2 linked regions of the Drosophila melanogaster genome follow. The protein of the gene in region 2 interacts with the protein of the main gene of each other region in a biochemical or structural test. Each region holds a gene or a part of one and is shown on either strand. Other genes may lie near its edges.

What was found. Proteins that work in one complex are often made in the same cells at the same time.
Region 1: of the proteins of eff (region 2) and LUBEL, one has a biochemical effect on the other in vitro, tested with the Drosophila melanogaster proteins (one study listed by BioGRID).

What each region holds. Positions count from the first base shown.
Region 1 is NT_033779.5:6,766,201-6,772,670, reverse strand, and holds the start of LUBEL (linear ubiquitin E3 ligase), read left to right. Parts: upstream 1-1,702; 5' UTR 1,703-1,785; intron 1,786-1,961; 5' UTR 1,962-2,026; coding exon 2,027-2,080; intron 2,081-2,137; coding exon 2,138-2,336; intron 2,337-2,400; coding exon 2,401-2,537; intron 2,538-2,589; coding exon 2,590-2,718; coding exon of another isoform or gene 2,719-2,742; exon of another isoform or gene 2,743-2,834; intron 2,835-2,934; coding exon 2,935-3,273; intron 3,274-3,543; coding exon 3,544-3,825; intron 3,826-3,878; coding exon 3,879-4,167; intron 4,168-4,225; coding exon 4,226-5,413; coding exon of another isoform or gene 5,414-5,460; exon of another isoform or gene 5,461-5,575; intron 5,576-5,657; coding exon 5,658-6,085; intron 6,086-6,144; coding exon 6,145-6,470.
Region 2 is NT_033777.3:14,736,981-14,745,283, forward strand, and holds the start of eff (effete), read right to left. Parts: upstream 4,340-8,303; 5' UTR 4,027-4,339; intron 3,961-4,026; 5' UTR 3,424-3,960; coding exon 3,400-3,423; intron 504-3,399; coding exon 440-503; intron 1-439. Other genes in the region: jvl (javelin-like), read left to right, coding at 5,198-5,611. UniProt on the Drosophila melanogaster protein: Catalyzes the covalent attachment of ubiquitin to other proteins. Mediates the selective degradation of short-lived and abnormal proteins.

The sequences.
Region 1 (6,470 bases), on a different chromosome or scaffold from region 2:
ATCCCTATATATATATATATATATATATATATATATATATATATATATATATTCATGTGCTACCAGCTGGCAGTGGCAGTTTTGAGTGCGGCAAGACGCGTCAAGTGAAATCGAATTATGTAAGTGACCTCTGATTTCGCGGATATCCAACCGTTCATGGTCGATCGAATCCATTACGAAAGTTCAAAAGCCAATTTAAAATCACACCGCAATTAAATCGATCTCAAGTGTTCTAAATATAAAACTCAGCTAATTTTAAACGCGGAGAACGCTCTCCATGGGAAAGTTCAAGGCATTGGCCGGGATAAACAATCAAAGCGTAAAATAAAGTATACAAAATTAAATCAAATTTTTTAAGCTAATTTGCCAATTTGAAATAATGAAAAACTGTGAACTAAAAAAAAAAACGCAAATATAGGCAAGCCAAAGAAATGTTTAAAAATAGTTCCCACCGTTCGTTCTCCTATAAAAATAAAACTTTTTCCCTCGCCGCGTGAGTCTGTGTCTGTGAGTCAGCGTTGCGTTTGCCTCTTGCCAGGCCACTTGCCACTCGAAGTCGCCGCACGGAGCAGGCCGATCTTCTGGGCGGGATTGAGGTGGCACCGGGCCATGCCCCTCCCACCACTGCAGGCGGCTTTCATAAATATTGCTGCACAGTGTGACACAATTTCGGGGCAAATGTATGGAGTGGCTGCGGATGGTTTCAAAAATAGCGCAACAGACACGGGAGTGCAGGCCCAGCGAACACGTTGCGTATACGCAATGCGAGAGAACAGTGTGGCTTGATTTTTGCTATGCTGGCTGAGGCGTCGCGACTCCGAAATTTATGGATAAATTTTATGGCTCGTTACGCACTTAACTAGTGCGTGGAAAATATGCCAGAGCTGCTGGATTAATATATGCTCTAAAAGATATTATTGAGATATAAAACATATTCAATAAACGGGAAATTGTCTCAAAGTATCAGGAATATAAAATGTAGTAAGGAAAACTTTGAAGTGCAGATATGTATATTAAAAAGTTTAATTAACATTCAATCTTAACTTACAAGAATATGCAAGAGATAAATGATTCCTTGGTATCATAGATACACATTTCATAAAACATGAAGAAACATAGATATCTAATAAGTTAATTATATATGAAATATTTAGTTATATACATATAACTTTTACCGGTGCGTTGCCCTTTGAGTTGAAAAGTTTGATGCCTTGGACGCAATTATAGTAAACTTAAAATATATACTAAAGTCAGCATTTGAAATACCTTTACTAATGGAATTATTATGTTGTTTAGGCCATTATTTAATTTAAACTATTTGGCAACGATTTGGCCACCTGCGTCATTACCAAATGCATATTCGCTCAGCTTTTAGTCAATATTTTCCCTCTCTCTGTTAGTTTTATTCGCTCGCTTTTATTTTCAAGCATTTACATGAAATACTCTTCTATTCGAAACTTTTGAGAACTATTTTCAAATTCGAATTCTTCTCCCTAGTCTAATCTCTTTTGCAATTTTCTTGGCATCTCAGCCACTTAGCCGCGTTGACAGAATGAGTCGATTGAGTCACAAAACAGCACTTCCCTCTTTCGCATGATTTCATAAATAAACAAGACCGAAAATGTTATGCCAAAATATATACATTTTTCAATTTTTGTTTTCTATGCACCGAAAGATATTTTCGACTACATTTAGCGTTTTTATTCGCGATCGAACTGTGGCAGCGTTTAGTTTTGTGCACGGCATCCACGAAACTGCATTTTGGTCATTGGCTTCGGAATTTGGGTGAGCCAGCTAAAAATATGCATTCATAATTCGCATTTTCTGGCACTTTGCTTAATTGAATTTGAAGTCGTTTGAAGTGGCTGCGGTTGGGCGAAAATATGGCACAGGGTATTTGCGATCTATAAATAATTATAATAATATTAATATTTTGCTGCTTACGTATTTCGATGAAATAGAAAACCAATCAAGCGCAAAAAGACGATTAAGTGACGGCAAAACCCAGACGAAAAAATCGACCAAGATGACGACCCACCAGTTGCTAAACAAGAATGTTCGCACCATGCCCTCCTGGGTGGTAAGCCAATATCCAGTTTGCCAGTCAATATCCAATTGCACTAATTACCCATTTCAGATGGAGGCAAATGACCGCATTGGGCCCAAACCGCCACCCACGCCACCAAACGGTGTGGCTGGTGGTCTTCCCAAGGCGCCTGCTCTGCCGCCCAAGGCGAAGAGCACTCCCGAGCCGGACTACGAGATCATCGAATTCTCCAGCCAGCAGTACTCCAACGAACCGATGAAGACCACAGTGATCAGAACCAAGACACCAGGTGGGCAACCTTTTTATATATTCCACTTATTTAAAATACTACCAGAGATAATTATCACTTGCAGATAACAAACTAAAGTGCACCTTGTGCGGTTCCCAGAATCCCTGGGTAACCTGTGCCGAGTGCGCCGGCCAAATCTTTTGCGCCTCCTGCGACGACATGTTCCACAAGCATCCCAAACGTAAGCAGCACATGAGAAAGGTAAGTTCTCCCGATCCATTATGAATTTGAACTTAAGAACTTCGTTTTGCAGGCTGTGGAGCAGGGCACACCGCCGATTCCGCCAAAGGCACAGGCCGGTGGTGGGGCACCACCACCAGTGGCACCTCCACGACGCAGCAAACGAGGCCTTTTGACACCGTTTCTGGGCCGCAAGGATCAGGTACGCCACTGCACGATCTCCTAGACCCGTAAGAAAGGCTCCTTCATGGGCTACACGTAGTACCAAGTTTGTAAACTTCAATTTGAATGCTTCAATAAAAGAGTCCTTACAACCAGAACGCCCGACCAAAATTGTAGAAACAGCGATCCAGACATACTTTTTCAATTGTTACCCGAATACCCATACGAAATGGCACCCAACCCGACTCTTTTCCAGATGCTGCCGCCGCCCTCGCCCACGCCCTCGCACAAGTCGCTGGGCGGCTGGCGGGGATCGCTCGGTGGCGGGGCCACGCCCCCAGTGCCACCAATTGCCACCAGCTCTGCCAACCAGATGAACAACCGACCACTGCCCGATCCACCGCGCAGCGAGGGCGGGGGATCTTCCAGATCGGGCACCCCCAAGTCCGTGTTCGACACCATCCAGCGACCGCCGTCGGTGCAGCTGGAGAAGATCAAGAGCAAGGCCAGCGCCACGCTGGACCGCATGGCCATTCTGCAGCAGCGGTACCGCCAACAGAAGGCTCGCCAGGATCTGAGCGCCAACAGCGAACAGGTGAGTGACCCGTTGACCCCGAATCACAATCGTACGAGTCCCCTCATCACTGAGTGTATCGTATTGTCTTTGCTCGGCGAAAATTGTGTCAAGGATCAGTTATAATTGTAAATGAAATGTTAATTTATTAATCATTGATCCTTGATAGTATTTGATCCTTGCACTTCGTATCGTATCGTCTCGTCTCGTTTCGTCATGTGTCGTTTCTCCCTTTCCTCTCTCTCTCTCTCTTTCTTTTTCCGTTTCTCGTTGGTCATTTCCCAAGCGCAGCATTTGTCGAATGAAGCCGGCTTCGAGCACTGGTCAAACATTTCACCATCGCCCTCGCATTTTCGTTCCGGCAGCATGTCATCCGGCCTGAACTCATCCCATTTCGATCTCTCGGATGACTCACAATTTCACAATTCCTTGCTGCTCCAACAACGACAGGCGGCCGGCGCCCAGCGGCGACAGATGAGCACATCGGTGTTCAATCTCAACTCGAATCCACGTCGACCACTGTCCGAGGCCCAAAACGGAGGTGCCTGGCTCGCCAATCAGCGCATCCAGCAGGTGAGTTAGAGTTTCATGCTCCCTTAGAAACTAAGATACCATCCCGCTTGCAGGCCCAATCCCTGGCGCAGCTAAACTGCGCTGGATGTCAACAGAGTCAGCAGCATCCTGGCTGGGCACAGCATCCGCACCAAGCACTTCCTCAGCACCAGCATCCCGATCAGTGGTCACAGTTCGGCTCCCAACAGCAATTCAACAACTCCAATCTGTCCCTGAACGTTGGACCGGGTTACATGTCGCAGCAACATCATCCACACTATCCGCCACCAGTGTTTATGACCCAGCGTGGTATGATGCCCAATGTGTATCCAGGAGCACCAGGCTATCCCATGATGCATCCAGGTAAAATGAGGCACTATTAGTTATATTTTAATTTACATATTGCACTTTAAATGCGCAGGTGTCATGGGAATGCCACCTTCAGCTGCCTCCAGAGCTGCATCCCGTTCCCGGTACGCTGCATCACCAACACCCAGCCGCAAATCGATGTCCTTGCGTCGCAAGCGCAATAGCTACGTGGATGACGAACTTACGGATGACGAGGACTCCGACCAGGATGACCGCAGATCTTTGGTGTCCAATCGCTCGGGCATGACTAGTGCCTCGCGCTCCCAGCATCACCAAAACCATATCCAGCCCCGCCAAAGGCGCCTGTCCAGTGCCTCCCAACTCATAGCCAGCGATGAATTGGACGGCGATCAGGTGCATCACAAGATGCGGAATCGTCGGGGATCCATTGCCAAGTCCGTGCAGAGTGAGTGGCTACCGGAGCGACGGGAAAATGAGGGAACCCTTACCAGAAACAAAACAGCAACGGACTCGGCCAGAACCAGTCGCATTTACTCCGATCTGGAGTCTGAGGGATCGGGTGCTCGGGCCTTGGTTCAAGCTAAAATTCAGCAGAAGCTCCAAGAAGCCGATCAGCACAAATCCTCGAAGAAGGCTGAGCCAAAACGCAAGCCGGAGATGAAGGACGAGAATACACAGGCGGCAGCGGTGGTGCAAAAGGTGGTGGTGCCACCAGCCCATGAAGAGAGTGCCTCGGAATACGAGGAAGTGGTCGAAGAGGTAACCGCCTCAGAGAGTGAGGCTGAGGCTCAAACAGCACCCGATCCCCAGGAAGTTCCTGACGAGATTGGGGCTGATGATCTCGGCCCACCACCTTCTACCCCAGACCACGAATGGGAATGCGAGTTCTGCACGTTTGTGAACGAGCCCAACATCAAGATCTGCTCCATATGCTGCAAGACGCCCAGCAAACCTCCAGTGCAGCCCAACAAGGCCAAAAAGGTAGAGGAAAAACCACAGCCTCCAGCTGAAAAGTCTAACAATATCAAGGCGTCTTCCAAGACGGAAACTAAGCCAGTGCAAAAGCCTACTACAAAGAGCCAACAACCCAGTCAGAAATCCGTTGCTGCTCTTTCGAAGACTACTCACACCAACTCCACGTCTAGCTCAAAAGCGTCGCCAGCTGTAAACTCCAAGACCACCTCCAGTATTCCTATCAAGACACCATCGAAATCCACACTGAAAACTTCGTCGGAAAATGAATCCGATAACTCGCTGGCCAAGAGTCTTCTGCACAAAGGTAGGATACAAAAGAGAATCTCATTTTTCGAAGGCACAAAGACCTAAGCCCAACCACCAAAGACTATACCTAGTTAGTACACTAATAGAGCCATCAACTGTAAGCCTACAATTAACGCATTTATGGAAACGAAATACAAAAGAGAACCATAACCCAAGCCGCATTCCGTTTGTTTGATTTCAATCCGTTGGTGACCCCGATCCCGTTCCCCCAAAAGCTAATGCTCTCATCCGTATCGTTCCAGAGTCCGTTGAAAACATTTGGAATACTCTGGATGAGAGCATACAGGCGCAGGCGGAGCAGGTACTCAAGAAGGCTCAGAAGGTCTCCACGGCCTGTGGTGGGACTCCTCCCCGGGAAATAGCAGCTGTGGAGATGGGAACCTCCCCGCCTCCACAAAGCATTTCCACACAGACCTACGACGCTCTGCCCTTCAATACAAAGCAAGAAGAGATCATCCCCGTTGTTCCTGACCGCTTCACGACTCCAGAACCAAACAAGATGGAGCGACGTCCGCACTATCGCAGCAATTCCCAGCTGCAACAGGAGAGTGAACGTTATCGGAGTGCCAATGACCTGAGGTATCACGACGGCTTTGGATTGGATCCATATAGTGCCGGTCTGGTCACCAAAAGACCCAATTTCATAAACGAGCTACGCATGCTGCAGCTTGTAAGTATCTATGGCAATACTTGATAGTTGACATAATCCAACGGATCCATGTGTTACAGCAAGTATCTTCACCTTTCGATATGCCGCATGAGACATTCGGAGTCAAGCATGAGCCGGCCAGAGATCCGGAAACGGAAATGCACATCATACTGAAAGAACTGGAGCTGTACAAGTTTACGGTTGAGGAACTGGAAGCTGCCCTTAAGTACTGCTCCCCGGAGACTCATCCGATTCAGTGGCTGCGCGAGAACTGGCACAAGCTGGTGCAGACGGTGCAGAGTTTGTCAACCAAGTACGGACAGGAGAGGGGTGAAAACACGATCGGAACTGTGTCCCAAAACGAAGCACGCGAGGCATTGCGCAACTCGGGGGGAAATGTGTGGCA
Region 2 (8,303 bases):
GAGGCCGTCGCTATCACAAAATAAAAAGAACCGAATCCAAACTTGGCGCAAAAGAATTCCAAATTAGCAAAGTCCAAACTAAAAGTAACAGCCAATAGGAAAACAAACGATGTACAAATTTAGTGTGTTATATGCCTAGTCACGATCGAAATCTATGACGTGGTGATGGTCGATCGACAATATTTGCATTTTTTATTAACAATTCCGAGATAGTGGTATTGTGAATTTTGCCTAATATATATATAGTTCCTATTCCTTGCATCAGACTATATACTATACTGACTCAGACTTGGCAACTCAGAAATATTTCACATAATTTCATGTCTTGGAGCTCCCACACGATATGGTGAAATCGAAACTTGGGTTAAAGCCCCCCCAACATAATACAACTGACTCACGGCAAATCAACGAGTTGTTGAATAACATTAGCAATACTTACAATCATCTCCAACTGGACCGGCTGAACATTGTGCAGGTGGATCTCTGCCCAGATCTTGCAGTTCCTGTTGAACAAAGACATTTTCAAATTAGTCATTGAAATAAAAGTTAAATATAGGTATGTAAGCTCAGTCAATTTCTGATTGTTTTTAACAGTTATGTCAAGTCCTACAAAAAGAACTGGTTTTTAAAGAGTATATCTAATTTCTAGTCAAACCTTATATACTACCTACTTTCTGAAAGCATAGGTAACAAACCTAGCAATTGCAATACAGGAAACCCCAAAAAGAATTCTCGAAATGGGAAATGGTCAAAAGTGCATTTCATGGATATCTGCTTATGTTTTCCGGTAGTCGGTTCTTTTGTTTTGCTCTATGATCCAGCTATATGTACATACATATGTATGTATGTACCACGGTTTTCCGGGTGTGCGTACATTTTATGCTGTGTGGTTGGTATGCAAATGATGTAAATTTTAAATGCAGAATTTAAAAACAGATATGTGGGGATACAAAATAAACATTTTTATGCGAGAGCTTCGTTCGAAGCGAGTGCGAGCGAGAGGGAGAGACGTGAAAAATCAAGTTCGTTGGCCCGGACCACAAATGGCGCTGTCTCCTTCTGCCCCACCCCCCGACCAGTCGCTCCATCCCTGTTGCACTCGCACGCACACAGCTGAGCGGCTCCCCTCCCTCTCTCTTACACTCCGACTCTTCTTCACTTATCACAGCTGCCCCACACACACACACTCCAAACGGGGAGAGAGAATGAGGTGTAAGGTAAACCGGCAAAAAAAAAGAATATATATATAAAAAGAATAATGAAGATGAGCTGCGAAAGAGTAGCGCGACTCAGTGGAGAAGTAAGAGGAGGAGCAGCAGGAGGAGGAAGAATGAAGGAGAGTGAGAAGACTGAGCTTCAGTGTATGCGTGTGTTTGTAACGGCACCACAAAATCAGAGTGGAGCACAACAAAAATAGCCGTCGCGAAAAACACCGTGTTTCTTTGCCCCATCTCACTTACTCATTTTGGGAATTGTACCTGTTGAGCAAAAATAAATTACAAGAAATTGTTACATTTCTTTTTTCGTTGGGAGTCGGAGCGGTTATGACTCATATCAGACGAACAAATGAAGTAAAAACAAACACGCACACTTGTGCACAGCAAGAAAATTCGATAATATTATCAATATTAGACCAGGTGCACTACCAATACAAACTTCTATTTAATTCTTATTCGAATAATTAATATTGTGAACTTTAAGAATTGGTTCAGTAAGACTAAATGCCATATGCATTGGTTCTAAAGCCCATTTCGTTCAGTGTACGGTTCAAGTGAGCTCCGATCGGCGTTTAAGCCGTTCTCTCTCGCTCTTTAACTCTCTTTTTTGGCAAATGAGGCCATCTAGAGAAAAAAGGCTTTTGAAGAATTGACCACAAAAAGGGGGCGTGAGTGATTTTAAGAGTTTACTACAATGTATACTTTTATTTCCGGTTTGCCGCTTGCCATTTCGTTTTCATTTAGGCAGGCATTAAAATGTTATAATGGATAGAAAACTACGAAAAACGAGGAAAACTCAATGGCCATGACGCCGACGCAGGCAGCGCTGCTTTTGTCGAGACAGTCAGCAGACCCCCGCCCCACACATTCAAACACAAATACACACCACGCTCACACATACGCATAGATATGAACAAATTCCGCATTCGCTGCTCATTTTGTATGTAAATTATGCTTAATTATAATTTATAACTAATTATTTGGGGGCCCCCTTTTGGCTGACGGTGTTTTGCAACACTAAGCCCCGCTAGCACTCACACACTTGCGCTCTCTTTGGCTCTGCCCCATTGCGCGAGCGGGACCGAATGAGGCCTCAGCTGTCGCGGGCAAAGGGAATGCGCCAGGGCCAGAGCGAGATGGCATGCAATGGCCATAGCCAAGTGATGGCGAGACTTTGTATTTGCGAGCGTTTTAATGTGTGTGTGTGTGGGGTATGACTATGATAACCGGCTTCAAACGTAAAAAAAGATCCCAATTTGCCAAGTAACATTTCCACAACTTCGAGATATTACTAATGCTTTTGAGGAAGGCTGGGATGACTTTGAAAAAATATCGGGTTGTCAGGGCCTTGAACATTGGGGTGTAAAAAAGCATTTACTGGACAAGGACAAACGACGCGCAGGCACTTTAAAAATAATTATCGAAGCACGCACGCTAGAACCACTCTACCTAAATACATATATAAATATATATGCTTGGGGGCAGCACTATTTCTGAATTATCAGCGCAAAAAGTAGGGTTAGGTTAATTTTATACGCTTCTTGCTTTTGCTCTGTTTTATTTTTTGCTGGATCTTTCTGCGGCGCTGGCAGTGTGTGCGTTTATGTGTGACTGTTGCGAGGCTGAGAGTGTGTGCGAGTGCCGTGTACAGCGTGTATTGGGTAACAGCGCCCGTAGAGCTGCGAAAACTCCGCCGTATAGTTGCATTAATGTAAATGCATCCAGGTGCCCGGCACACACGCACACAAACAATGCACATTTGCATTGCACTTTCACGCACACGCATCGCACACACACTTATCCCACACTCTCGCAAAAGTAACGGAAGCGATGACTGCACTACACGTTGCCTTGCCCACCACACACACACATCCTTATACCTTTTTCACCACCCTCAAAATTTCTAATCTGCTCCTAATTACTAACTTATTAATTAAATGGTAACTCCACAGCTCATTTTCTCCCTTCCCTCTTGCACGCTTCTTTCCCCCCGCTTCTTCTTTCTTCTCCTCGGTTACTACCTACGTTTCACATTTCTTGCATAAAATTTTTCTCCCGTTGAAAACTGATGTCTGTTCGCTTTTTTTTTAGACTATCATTTTGGTGTATCGCAAAGGGTTCTGTTCTTTCTTTTTTTAGTCCGTTTCGCAAAGTTTTTTGAGATATTCCTTTTTTCACATACCTTATTGATTCTTTTTAACGCCATTTTCTGATTGAAATTTGATTTTCTGGGTTGTGTGTGTGTTTGGTTGGTTGTGTGTGTGTTTGGTTGGTTGTGTGCTGGTGTTGGTGTCTCGCGTATTTCTTTTGTTCTTCGCACAGAATTGGGTTTTATTCAATATATAATCCTCCTGCTTAGAATTGAACGAAAAACGAAACACAAAGCTGCGTTGCGCCTCTAGAACTTTGATGCTTAAATATGGCTCTTTCGGTTGAGTGTCCCTTGTCACGAAATAAAGCAGCACCAGCGCACTGCAAGTAAAAACGGCGACCCGACGAAGACTACGGCGACGATTATTTTTTCACAATCAATGCGGGGCCTTTCGACCGTTTGTGCGATAGAGACGACCGTTAGTGAGCTGAGAACGCAACGAAGCACAATCGTTACACCGAAGTGTAAGCCCGAGCGAGAGGAATGGTGTGTCTGTGTCGTGTGGTAGTGTTGTGAAGCGGAAGTCCAGCAGAGCAGTCCAGCTATATGACCTTTTCGCTAGGGGTGGCCAGATCGATTGGGTGGCAACGCCTTTTAGGTGAGGGATGAATCAGTTAATTACAATTTGATTGCCAATGCAAGACTCTTCATACTCACTTTAGTTCGGGAACAGCCAGAAGAAATAGTTTTACCGGCAGCGAGGAGGTGTTATATTTTATTCGAACTACCTTCTTATCGATGGTGCGTGCGCCCAAAAGCTTGCAACTTGTATGTAAATTTGTTAACACCCAACGTGTTGCAGGCTGCCGGAATGTTTTTACTGAGCAATTTTGAGATGTTGGTAATCCGAGTTCTTGAAAACTTTCCGACTAGCTACTGAGTTCTACAACTGAATTGACAGGGCGTTATTTTAAAATTTAAATTCACTCCAGAGCGCTGGTCTGGCAAGGCCGACGTGCCAATTCAGGATACTTGTCGATATTTTCCGTTGTGCTATCGATAGTTTTTGGGAATAACAGGCGTTAGTAGATTTTTAGTATTTAGATTTTATTATCATAAGGATGAAAATATTTTTAACAAAATAAACTGGTTCATTTAATTTAACTTTTTATTTTCTCACTACTCCAAATGGCGCTTCCGCTGTCTGAAACTGCCGTTATAATAGTATGAACAGTTAAAACAATCGACGGTAGCTGAATTTAATCAATGCAGCCCTCTTACCCTATACATCGATAGTATCGCATAAACATCGATTTTGGTTCCAGCTCTAACTTTAACTGTCTGCAAAATATTTCAAACAAAAGTGTTTGTTAATTAAGTAATATACTTAATATTAGTGGCTGTTTTGCTTCGACATTGATCGAATTGCGGTTGTGCAAGTGTTTTGTTTGATTTGTTGGCGTGTTTTTCCTAGTTTGGCGGCCCTTTGAACTCGTTCGTGTATCGCCATCTCTCTCCCACCCCCGCAATCGGCTTCGTGCGTATTTTTTTGTGAATTTTTACACAGAACTCACACTTTTGTATGGCCCAAGAATTTGTACAATATTTTTGCACTTGAAAAACAAGAAATAATGAAGAAAGCCAAGATAAACGCGACGATGTGCAAGTGCTAATCATTCAGTTTTGGCAAGCGCTGAACTTCGCTGACTTCTTGAACAGCAAAAAAGATGGAGGAGGATAATGCCAAGGTCCTAAGTAATAACAACAAGAACAACAGAAACAACAATAAGGGACGCCAGCAGCTGCAGGGACACGCCCACAGCTCCGCCACCGCCCACGCCTCCGTCGATATATTTATATTCGATTTATAGTAGCTGTAGTTGTAGTCATGCCAACAACAAAAACGCAAACACAGACAACAACAACTTGCAGCGAAGAGGAAGAAGCGGCGATAATACGAGAAAATTGCGATACGCCAATGGCGACCCCAGCAAATGCAACAACAGCAAACACAACAACTGCAGCACCCATAACAACAACAACAACAACAGTAAATACGCGCAGACAAGAAGAAGCAGCAGCAGTAGCTTCCACACCTAGTGTTACGAAAACGGCAACAACAACAAACATACTAGCCGCTGCAGCGGGATGCCACAAGCCGTTATTCTTCAGCCGCCGCTTTCAGGACAAACGGAACTTTAGCTCGCTACCGCTCTTCGTCTACGCGACCTCGCCATCAACGCACGCCCACTCAGCGGACGGAGTAGGCGTGGCCAAGGAGGCAGCCGCGTTTTGCCACAAGGTGAGTTTGTTGCACAAAGAACCAGATAAACTTGTAATATTAGGAGAACAAGGAACTTCTATAATTGCCAATCAAATATAATATATCCCCTTTAAGTTATGTATTATAAAATGTAGTATTTTATTTAAACTTTGATAATGCCATTTGTATGTATTTAGATTTAACCCCAAAACAGGAAAAGAAAACCAAAAATAAAGAATTCTGGTTGGAACAGAGAGTTTCCAGTTCGAGGGATTCGTTTGGCATGTCACAGAATTGTAATTGTAATAAAACCCCCATGGGTTTTAATACTCATTTTCTACCTTCCACTCTGCCATCTCTTTTTTTCGAGCAATCGCACCGCTCTTTCCGCTCTAAACTTGCGTAATGGATCACTTCCGCTGCACTTGCAACTTGGGTCGTGTCATATCTGAATATATAATTCCCGCCCAATTCATAGTTTAAACAGTAAGCTCCGCCTAAGAAGAACGCGCTAATAACTCCGTGGTTATACTTAAATGAGTTCTTGATCCAGATTATAAATTTAGATACCTAATATTCAAATAGATATAGCTTTAGAAAAGTTGTAAGTTTAGCATGGTTGGTTGTTTCGTTTGTAGCCACTAACTACTGTATTATATTTATAAACGTTCTGCTTGGCTGCCGCAGTCCGCCTATCTGTTCCTCTCGGAAATCGGTGCATGCAGAATCAGATCTCCATTGGAAATGCGTTTTTAATGTTAATCACGAGCGGCTTTAAAAAAATTGTTTACACTGCGTTTTTTTTGGGCTGTTTGTTTTTTTTTTTATATATTTTTATATCAGTACCTTTTTTCGAGTTTCTGCAGCACGGTGATCGCTCAAACGTGTCAGACATTAATGAGCCAACCGCCAACCGCCAAAGCCGAGCATAACTGTGCTTTGTCTCATTTTGATGGGGCTAGGAGTGGTGGACGGAGGGAGGGATGGGGATGGGCGGTATGGGCAGGTGGTTACAGGTGCAGCCATTGACTGGCGCAGCGCTCTCCTTTTGTTGCCGCCCGCTTGCGGTTCGTTCTCTCCCTCCCTCGCATGCCAACCGTACGGTCTGCCCTCTCTGTCGCGCACTGCAACGCTTCACTTGTGCTTCACTGTGCTTGTTGTTTTTGTTGCAGTTCAGTGAGTTGCGACTTGTGCGCTGCTGCTCATAAGCTTCATTAACGTACGTCGGCAAACGCAGACAACAAAGCTCCCGAAAAAAATTGTTTGCCAGTATTTTTTGCCCAGCTTCGGTTTTTCCCGAAGCTACACACATTTTCATGGTCTGGAAAAGTCGATGGGAATGGTTAGAAGAGACATCCTATTGTTCATTTCCTCAAAACATGATACAAGTTTAACGTGCATATCTTATTTGGGTATTTCCAGCAGAATTTGTTAAAAAATTGTCAGTTAAATTGCATTTATTCTTGCAGTCTAATATTATATGTCTTTAAAATAAGAGTTGGAATAACAGAAGAAACATAAAGCAATATTGTAATGATTTGTATTTATTACCTTTCAGGCCGTAAAACCTGGTCAAAACATTAAATTTGCATAAAGTTGTAATAACTTGTAAACCTTTTTTTTATTACCTACATCCAATATTATTTTTATTATTCAATCAAATTGAGATGCAATCTGCATTTTAAATATTTACCTTACGTATTTCTCATGCTTTCTTTTCAAATTTGATGATCAGATCGTTTGACACTTTCCACTGGTTTACTGCGCTTTCTAACGTGGGTTTCCCCCAAAAAAGTGCCCAGTGGGTGTGGCACCCTCGTATGTGATATGCCCCATTCGGTATGGATAGGAATGTTTGTGGGCGATACTTTCGAGGCACAGTGGATCATAGCATTTTGTGGCAGCTTTCGAAACATTCTGATAGATAAGAATGAAAAAGTATAGAACAAGTGAAATGAAATGAACATTTGCACACTTTATTCGCTATTTAAAGCTCGAGAAACAGCCAGCTTTTGTGTTCATTGAGTCAATATTTAATCTTTTTTCTCAAGGTGGCCCAAAATGTGTAAATAAGGCCTTAAATATCCATTTATTTTCCAGACCCACTGTGACCACCGACGGTTATGAATTGAAAGTCTCAGCCTCTGTTGTTATAATACAATTACGTTGCATTGCTGTTAAATCCGTCCTCCTTGTCGGGTGTTGTTTACATTTTCAAATTTAAATCAATTTTGTTTCTGATTGCGGTTTAAGTGGCAGGTTCCAGTCCCCCAGACCCCAGAGCCCAAGTACCCAGTTTTCAGTTTTCAGCCCCATCTCTTGTCTTTCTTTATGTTTATTGCTGCCATATGTGTTCGGTATCTGGATCTGTATCAGTCTGTGTGGCATTCTCGTGTTGTCAAACAATGCGCATATGGATACTGTATCTGTATCTGAATAAATGTATCTTTTATTACCCATATATTGTGGAACAGTTGTTTTGGGTGCAGCGCAAACAATTGTCGAATAGATCTCTCATCTTCCTCGCCCTTCTTTTCCATTTTTTTTTTTTGGAAATATGTTTTTGATTGCTCTTGCCCCCTGGAGACCTCCTCGTATCCCACAAGATTTTCTAGCCACTGTCTAGTTACATTTCACATACAATCAATATTGTGCCCTCTTTCGATTGAGGCGATATATATTTGAATCGATTTATTGCAATTTATTTGAAATGGTTTGATTTTGTAAGCCA